Nothobranchius furzeri: one gene and its partner. The protein of the gene in region 1 interacts with the protein of each later gene in a pairwise test. Links are inferred from orthologs where the notes say so. Each region holds a gene or a part of one and is shown on either strand. Other genes may lie near its edges. The genes, in order: rho guanine nucleotide exchange factor 2 and rpp25l.

Region 1 (3,817 bases):
ATTGACCGTTTCCATAGAAAAACATGTTTCTGGTTAAGTGACAGAAAGTCACACAAAGCATTATGGGTTGTGGGAATTAGGTTGGGGTGTTACAGAGGAGGTGGAGTCTGAGGAGCTAAAATTCAGTAGAAAGTGATTCCATTCCTACTGATGATGGATCCTTGGGGTGAAGCGTGTAGAAGATAAAGAGTCAGCCCGAGGACTGACCCCCAGAGGAACCCCACAGGCGATATAGTGAGGCCTTGATTTGATGTAATTTTCTCCTGGCGACTGTTTGTTTGGATGTCTTTGTTTTTGACACATTTGCCTGGAATTAGTCATTGGATGATCAAGAATACCTGACTGGAGAAGGTCAGTAGGTGAGACTTTCAGCCAGGTTTCCAGCTCACAAAGGGCTCAGATTCCAAAAATAAATCCTGAAGATGGGACTTTTCAGAAGGTGGAGCAACCTGTTTAATCTGTATTTGTGTTGACGTGCAATCAGGAGAGTGGTGGACGAGCCCCCTGCTGGAAGAACTGCGTACAGAGGGAATCTGCGTCCAGGCCGACAGCTGGAGTCTGGCTGTGGAACCCAGCTTCCTGCAGACGCTGCACAAAGACGTCATCAAACAGCAGGACGTCATCTACGGTGAGAGGAAATAGAAAGGAATATCTGTAATATGGGCCAGTTGGTAGAGTGGTCAGGTGCTGATCAGATTCCATTTAGCCTTTACAACAACTCGTTTCTACTTGTTTCTCAGAGTTGATCCAGACTGAGTTCCATCATGTCCGGACGTTGCGGATCATGGAAGGGGTGTACCGGCGAGGGATGCTGGAGGAGGTGATGCTGGAGGCAGGTGTGGTTCACACCATCTTCCCTTGCCTGGAACAGCTGGTGGAGCTTCACTCCAACTTCCTGTCTGAACTGATGAACAGGCGGAAGGACGGACTGATGGAGGGCAGCTTCACTAACTTCACCATCCGCAGGCTTGGAGACCTGCTGCTCCGACAGGTACGCCGGCACATGTGACAGCTGGTCTAAGAGATGCAGGTGTTTAAATAAAGGGAATGTCGTTATCAGCTGAACGAAACAAAGAGTTGAGTTGAGCTAATGGGAGATGGCTCCCCCTGCTGGACGCTCTCATTCTGGTCATCGTACTGGTCACATCTGCAACATCTGCCCCTGAAAGACAAATGAATGTTGAGTAAATCTGTTGTACGGTGGCAGATAGAACATCCTAATGTCTTACATTTTTATGTTTTTGTAGTTTTCAGGTCAAAGTGCAGACGACATGAAGAAACTTTACTCAGAGTTCTGCAGTCGACACCCGAAAGCTGTGAAGCTCTACAAAGAAGTTTTAACTCGAGACCGAAGACTGCAACAGTTCATTCGGGTGAGCTGGTTTGATTTATATTCATATGAGTGAGGCACTGGGGTAGGGTTGATGGAGGTTGTTTGGTCCTTTCTGCTCCACATCAGGTTCATCACTGGTCAGAATAACGGAAGTCCATCCTCTTTGGTCTTATTTTTCTCCTTAATTAGTTTCAACTGGTTTGAATTGTTTCAGAATTGATCTGAAGTCATTCTATTTTAATGTTTTGTTGCGTGTTCTATGATTCTCAGCGTGTGTGTCGTGGTCCTCTGCTTCGTCGACATGGCGTCCAAGAGTGCATCCTTCTGGTGACACAACGGATCACAAAGTATCCCGTTCTCATCCAGAGAATCCTCGACAACACCAAAGGTAACCTCATACTGCTTACCGTTATCCTAGAATCAGAAGATGATTCATCTCAAACTGTCTAGGTGGGAAAGTTCTTTCTTCCTACATCCTTGAGGATGTTGCTCGTCCCTATTGTAACCTACGTATATCCTACCTCACGGGCATCCAGGCCCTAATCAGCTACATAGGCCCTCCCACATCCTCCCAACAGCAGCAGCACACTAGCAGAGTAGCTGAACAGCTCCTTTGTCCACACACACACACACACACACACACACACACACACACACACACACACACACACACACACACACACACACACACACACACACACACACACACACACACACACACACACACACACACACACACACATGAACAGACTGCATACATTTCACGCCCCTTTTTACACCATGTTTTTACATGATGATTGAATGATAACCTCATGTACGTCTACGATCTTTTCGATTCTCCTGCAGGATGCGAAGAAGAGGCACAAGCACTGAAGAAGGCCTTGCACCTCCTTAAGGAGCTGATCAGCTCAGTGGACCAGGAGGTTCTGGAGTTAGACCGCACCAGAAGGCTGCAGGAGATCCAAGCTCGTTTGGATCCTCGAGCCCAGGCTGAAGTCCAGAGAGGAGGAGTGTTCAGAGGAGGGGAACTGCTAAGGAGGAAGCTTCTTCATGATGGGACAATCCTCTGGAAAGTCCAGGGTTCTAGAATGAAAGGTAAAGGAGTAGGAGGACCATAAACCAGGGCTTAGCTCTTTTATGTTGTTATGTAACACGTGTGGGAGGAGCTTTTCCCTGTTGATTGTCTTTATATGTTTATCTCCAGATGTGCAGGTGTTACTGATGTCAGACATCTTGGTTTTTCTCCAGGAGAAAGACCAAAAATTCACCTTTGCATCACTGGTGAGTCATAAAACATCCCACCTGGTCACCTTATCTAGGACTAACCTGGTCCAACTATCCAAATCTATCCTACATGAACAGCTGATCATTCCTTGTGACCTCCTTGTCTCACAACCCAGGATGAGATAAGCAAGATCACGAGGATCTATGGGACAGTTTCACCTCTCTACTCACCGGTCTGTCTGCTCCCTTATGTCTTTCAGGACAAATCTCCAATAGTCCCCTTAAATAACCTGATTGTCCGAGAAGTAGCCAATCAGGAGCGAGGGATGTACCTGATCAGTAGTGACTCTAGTCCTCCAGAGATGTATGAGCTGTACGCTTCATCCAAAGACGACCGCAAGACCTGGATGAGCCGCATTCAGCAGGCTGCTCTCAGGTCAGAACATTACTGGAACTTTGCAGTACTAACTGAAACTTTATTCCTCAAAGGAAGGACCTTAAGGTACTCACAGGAAGACTACAGTACCAGTAGAAACTTTCCAGTACTTTAGTGTATTCACAGTAACAGAGTTTCTTGTGTTTTACTTGCAGCTGTCCGTCCAGAGATGAGTTTCCGCTCATCGAAACGGAAGACAAAGCTTTGCTGAGACGACTCCGAGGTGTGTGTGTGTGTGCGCGCGCGCAGTTTTAAAGTGAAATATTTACTGTTTAGGGTTTTTTAGACTCTGTACTTTCCTGCTTCCACTCCTCCTCCAGGGTGAGAAAAAGTTTTAATCTGCAGTTTGAGGTTTGTTTCATGGAGCGATGGCATCCGTCCTTCAGGAACATGTTGTCCATGCCGTAGAAGACCAGGTAGGCCAGGAATGGCTGGACAAAGGAGGCCCTTTCAAGCTAGAAGGAGGTGACAGGGAGCAGCAGCAGCAGCAGCAGGAGGACGGAGGTGACATGGAGCAGCAGAAGGAAAGACAAAGAGGAGAAAGTGGCCAGCAGGGGGAAACAGGAGGTGACAGGGAGCCGCAGGAGAAAGGAGGTGACAGTAAGCAAAAGGGGTAAGGATGAGGTGACAGGGAGAAGGAGGAGGAAGGAGGAGGGGGTGACGGAGCAGCATGAGGAAGAGGTGATAGGGAGCAGGAGAATGAAGGAAGATGAGGTAATGGGGAACAGTAGGAGAAAAGAGGAGGTGACATGGAGCAGCAGAAGGAAAGACAAAGAAGAGAAAGTGGGCAGCAGGAGGTGACAGGGAGCAGCAGGAGAAAGGAG
Region 2 (4,609 bases), about 6.7 Mb from region 1:
CCTGAGAGTGAGGAGGAGGAAGATGTAGGCTGTGAGGGAGAGAGTGAGGAGCAAAAAGAGGGACATCTTCTGTCATGTGCACTGTGTGCACTACCGTCAGGTTTGTGGGTGTTAAACAAACCCCTCTGTGTTTGCAGCTCATATTGTGTGTAAAATGCATTTGAGGCATGCTGACTCTGGACCAAAATTTCTGTTGTTTATATTTAATAAATAGATAAAATAAGACTCAGAGTTAACTAATTATGACTTTTATCCTCATGCTAACATTTATTTTCTTTCAGATATCAGCAAGTGCAAGGATGACCCACCTACTCAGCCTCATTTGAGAACATTTCCAGTGACATTAATAGGAGACAGAAGATGCAGCTTTCAGCCAAGCTGGTATGAAAGTCATCCAATTGGGTTGAATATTCTGTTACTATGGACTCTACTTATTGTCATGCATGCAGACATTTTAGCCCACCAAGTAGCGCAGGAAGTGTGTTTGACTCACCATGTGGATTTAGGAACTGGAAAAAAGCAACTGAGAGAGGAGGGGGGTTTTCAGTACACGCAAAGTCTGAAAGGCATAAGGATTCAATGATAGCGTGGAGGGACTACCAGAGGGCTGTGAAAGCTAATACAACATTGGCTAATATACTCGACAAGGAACTCAGTAAAAAGGTTAAAGAAAATCGTGAGTTTATCAAAACAATTGGTGAAGTGATTTTGCTTATGTGTGTGTGTGTGTGTGTGTGTGTGTGTGTGTGTGTGTGTGTGTGTGTGTGTGTGTGTGTGTGTGTGTGTGTGTGTGTGTGTGTGTGTGTTGACTACAAAAAGCAGATTGTATTGTGCAGATATTTTATTTGTTTGAATGTTTATTTTTCATATGTACAGTTCATATAATCTTCAAATAAAGTCACAAACTATAATAATTGACTAGAATTGTTTTTTACTCAAGTCTCATGTTGCGGTGAAGCATTCAGAATTGTTATCTGAGTACCATAAAAACATGCCAGTTTTACTTTCACAAGTAAGCCATTACTGCATTCGCCGTAATAGTTTACTTGTTCATTGTCTTTTAATATGATTTTTTTTCTTGTGCCCCCATGAAAAAATACTGGCCCCACAGTGGCCCCCCTGGAAAATTTGGTCTAGAACCGCCCCTGGTTTGGTGATGTGCAGGAACAGGTGGAAATTTTTGTCTCAATGGAACTTCAAAATAGAATAATTTTCAAAATAAAAATGAATTTGCATACATTCTTTACCAATTGATTTTTGCTTTTTGGATCGATGGCCATGATGGATGTGTCAAAGTAGATCAATGTATTGTTACATTGTGAGTACATTTTGAGGCATGCTGAAATTTACTGAAATGTCCCTGGAGCTTCCGTTTGTCACCTGACGTGTTAAGAGAGAAACAACAGCTGTGTTCAGTTTGCTTTGAAACATCACAATAAAAACTCTTAATTAATTATGAGTTCTGCAGTCTTATTTGCTTAGACAGTGTAACAAAATAGTCCTTGCTGTGATGGAGCATCTGGGCTTGTTTTCCATGGTTTTCATAGGAATTTTATTGTTTTTCTGAAACGTATGATTCGCGGTACTTTAAAAAACTACAAGTGTCTCGTGAGTTTACGACAGTTTTTGTGGTTTTACGGTAACGTAACCTGTTGTGGTAAACATGCGGACTCGGAGCAGTGTTCAGTAGTAAAAGGAAAGAAGTAAAGGTAAGAAGATAGTGTTTTCATGCTGCAGCGGACCACCTAAGGTTTTTATCTTGTGTTACCCCTTATGACCTGCGTTTGTCTTATTTATGACCATTTTAAAAACACTTGTTTACTGAACGGTTAGCTTTAGGTGAGTCCGGGTGAAGCAGCTTCCTGCGGTGAGGTTTATTATCATCTGAGGTGTTTTCAGGTCAGAGTTTGAACAGCCTTGTTGGCACATGTGGTTAGTTGGAGTGGTTGTTGTTTGAAGTTAGCTGTCTAGCTAGTGTGCTAAAGGCTAACACCGCATTGAACGCGAAGTTAAATTATATTGTGTATCATTTCTGCGTGTGATGATGTCATAAGCATGCCGAACACTTAAAAAGACGCAGAATTGTATTTTAAACCTTCGTTTAAAACCAAGTTCAGCGACGTCATCACATCTGGGTAAAAATGCTATTTTTGTGTGGAGTTTGGTTTGCGCTCAGAACTGAATTTTATATCTGTTTAAAAACTCAAAAGGTTGGAAATGTGTTTAATCATGACTAGGGTTGCCAACTCCCTGAAAAATAAATAAGGGACACCTCGCGGGCAGGGCGCTCCAGGCCACCCTTCCCAGCGTGGTGATTTTTTTGCTCTTTTTTTGTGTGTGGGTGTGAAAGGATTTTTTTTTTTTACTATTTGACTTGAAGTTGGTTTAAGAAGATGCATATTCTTTGTGATATGAAAACATGGGAAACAAATGATCATTTAGCCATTTATTTATGGCGTGAAATTACAAAATTATTATAAGTAACAAAGGTATTTTTCTTAAACAGAAAACTGTTATGCTCAACTTTTTGTGCAAAATGACAAAAAAAAGTAGGTCTCTTTCTTAAACGGTAGCCTGTTATGCTTTACTTTTTAGAATATAAATAGCTCTCTTTAAAACAACTCTGTTCTGCTTAACTTAAAATTGTATAAATTAATAGAAAACAACAGAAAGAGCAACGCTGTAACTGCACATTGAGTGCAATTAGAAAAGTGCAAACAGAAAGTCTGTGGAGAAGCTGTAAACATATTTGTGCCTCAAAGGCCTTGACTGTAGCCTATGGTTGAAGTAAAAAAAAAAAAGTCCAAACTCATGAACTCAAAAACTCAATGCTACATTATGTGAAAACAGACTATTTTCGCCATTTGTATTTCTTTTGAGATCTTGCTGCATTTAGGAGTTGTTTGTCTTTCAGTACTGCAGAGTAAAACTCTGAGCAAGACATGTCACAATTTAGAGTGACAATGAGCTCACATCTAATTATTTCAGTAGAACATTTGTTCCGCACATCAGTCCACTTATTCTTCATGAGAGAGAAAATCCTCTCTGCCAATCCAGTGGAAGATGGGATGCTGAGTACAAACGATACAACAGGCTGGATGTTGGAGAGGTCAGCTGCCTGAAGAATTTCTATACACTTCTCTGCTGTTCCCTTGGACTGCCACTTTTCCTTCTCCTGAGGTCCTTTGGTGAGGTGCTCCAGAAGGCTGGCTGCAGTGACACACTCGTCATAAAGCTCATCCATAGAGATGTTTAACCTGCCAATGGAGATAAGAAGTAAACCTGGGTTATAAGCACCACATAGAACACTTACAGTGGTAAATAAATGGAAAACATTTATTGTATATTTATTGCATTGTATAGCTTTTATACAATACAATAGTTCACTTTATTTATTATGTATTTATCCATCCTTTTAGTTTAAAATTATCCAAACAACATATAAACCAAGACAAGGCTACATCGAAACTAAACACCCAAGTTAAAAAAAAAAAATAGAAAAACTAATGACAAAACAGAAACAGACAACAAAAATAATAAAAATAATGGTAAACAAGCCCCAACACAGTGGGTTTTTTTTTCTTCATATAAATACCTTCACTTTAACCAGAGGGTTTAAAAAAGCAATGTTTACTTACCATATCTGCTTCTGCCATGGCCTTGTGGACGACAAATGGATCGAGGGTTCCCCGTAATTTCACGTCCTTTATGTTTTTCATGTGGCTACTACTAGACGCATGTTGCTTGAGGTCAGTGAGTCCACCATGCCCTTTGGAAAAACTGCGCCGGTACACGGTGCAGTGCGCTTTATAGGTGTTCTCGCGCAGTTTTTCCAGCCAGGAATTTTCCTTTTCCCATTCCTCCCTGTATTTTTGAAGCCTTTTTTCTTCTTTCTCGGAGGGGTACTGTCGTCCGAGACTTGTACAGCAGTGTCGGCGTTAGTTTCCCGGTTGGCCGTGCTGTTTGCTGTCGTCTGTTTTCTTCCGGTATCTTCTCCCCAAGCGACCGTTCCTCGACCAATGAAATAAGCGGTAATCTTATCGTCATATTCGTGTGTAAGCATGCGGTCAGTTCATTAGTCACAGAGCAGGCGAAGGGCTGGCTTTCAAACAAAGCGTTAATTCCGGTAATAGACTACAGACTAATTTTGATCCATACTATATTACGGGACAAAGTGCGTCCCTTTTGAGTTCAATACGGGACGTGCACTTTTGTTTCTAAATACGGGACGATTCCGTTTTTCAAGGGACGGTTGGCAACCCTAATCATGACTGATCAGCTGCTTTAAATGGGAAAACTTCAGTTGTCCCTAACATCCTGACTTATTACAACATATTTGTTAAAATAAAACAATTTCTTTTTATTCTGTTCAGTAGCAATCCCTTTCCTTCACAGCACTGTACAAGTTGTAATTATAAGTCTCAAAATATGTTCCGTATTCAAGAAGTAATTGAATCAGCATGCTGACACTTCCTCTGTCAAAGAGAGGGGGGCCTAACAGATTAAAGATGGTGGCAGTCACGCAGGGCTCATCAATGTCAATGGTTTAGTTGTTTCAGTGTCCCCTAAAGTGTCTGGGGGGCACATGTCTCCTTTATATTCCTGCCAC

What was found.
Region 2: the proteins of rho guanine nucleotide exchange factor 2 (region 1) and rpp25l interact in binary tests that used the Homo sapiens proteins (3 or more experiments, as listed by UniProt). The two-hybrid records come from large-scale screens. The link is inferred for Nothobranchius furzeri from reciprocal best matches to the Homo sapiens genes ARHGEF2 and RPP25L.

The regions. Positions count from the first base shown.
Region 1 is NC_091745.1:66,292,110-66,295,926, forward strand, and holds part of rho guanine nucleotide exchange factor 2, read left to right. Parts: intron 1-484; coding exon 485-628; intron 629-740; coding exon 741-991; intron 992-1,247; coding exon 1,248-1,373; intron 1,374-1,603; coding exon 1,604-1,721; intron 1,722-2,179; coding exon 2,180-2,428; intron 2,429-2,537; coding exon 2,538-2,614; intron 2,615-2,817; coding exon 2,818-2,993; intron 2,994-3,148; coding exon 3,149-3,216; intron 3,217-3,817. UniProt on the Homo sapiens protein: Activates Rho-GTPases by promoting the exchange of GDP for GTP.
Region 2 is NC_091745.1:59,630,607-59,635,215, reverse strand, and holds the start of rpp25l (ribonuclease P protein subunit p25-like protein), read left to right. Parts: upstream 1-1,606; 5' UTR 1,607-1,709; intron 1,710-1,726; exon of another isoform or gene 1,727-1,750; intron 1,751-4,609. UniProt on the Homo sapiens protein: May be a component of ribonuclease P or MRP.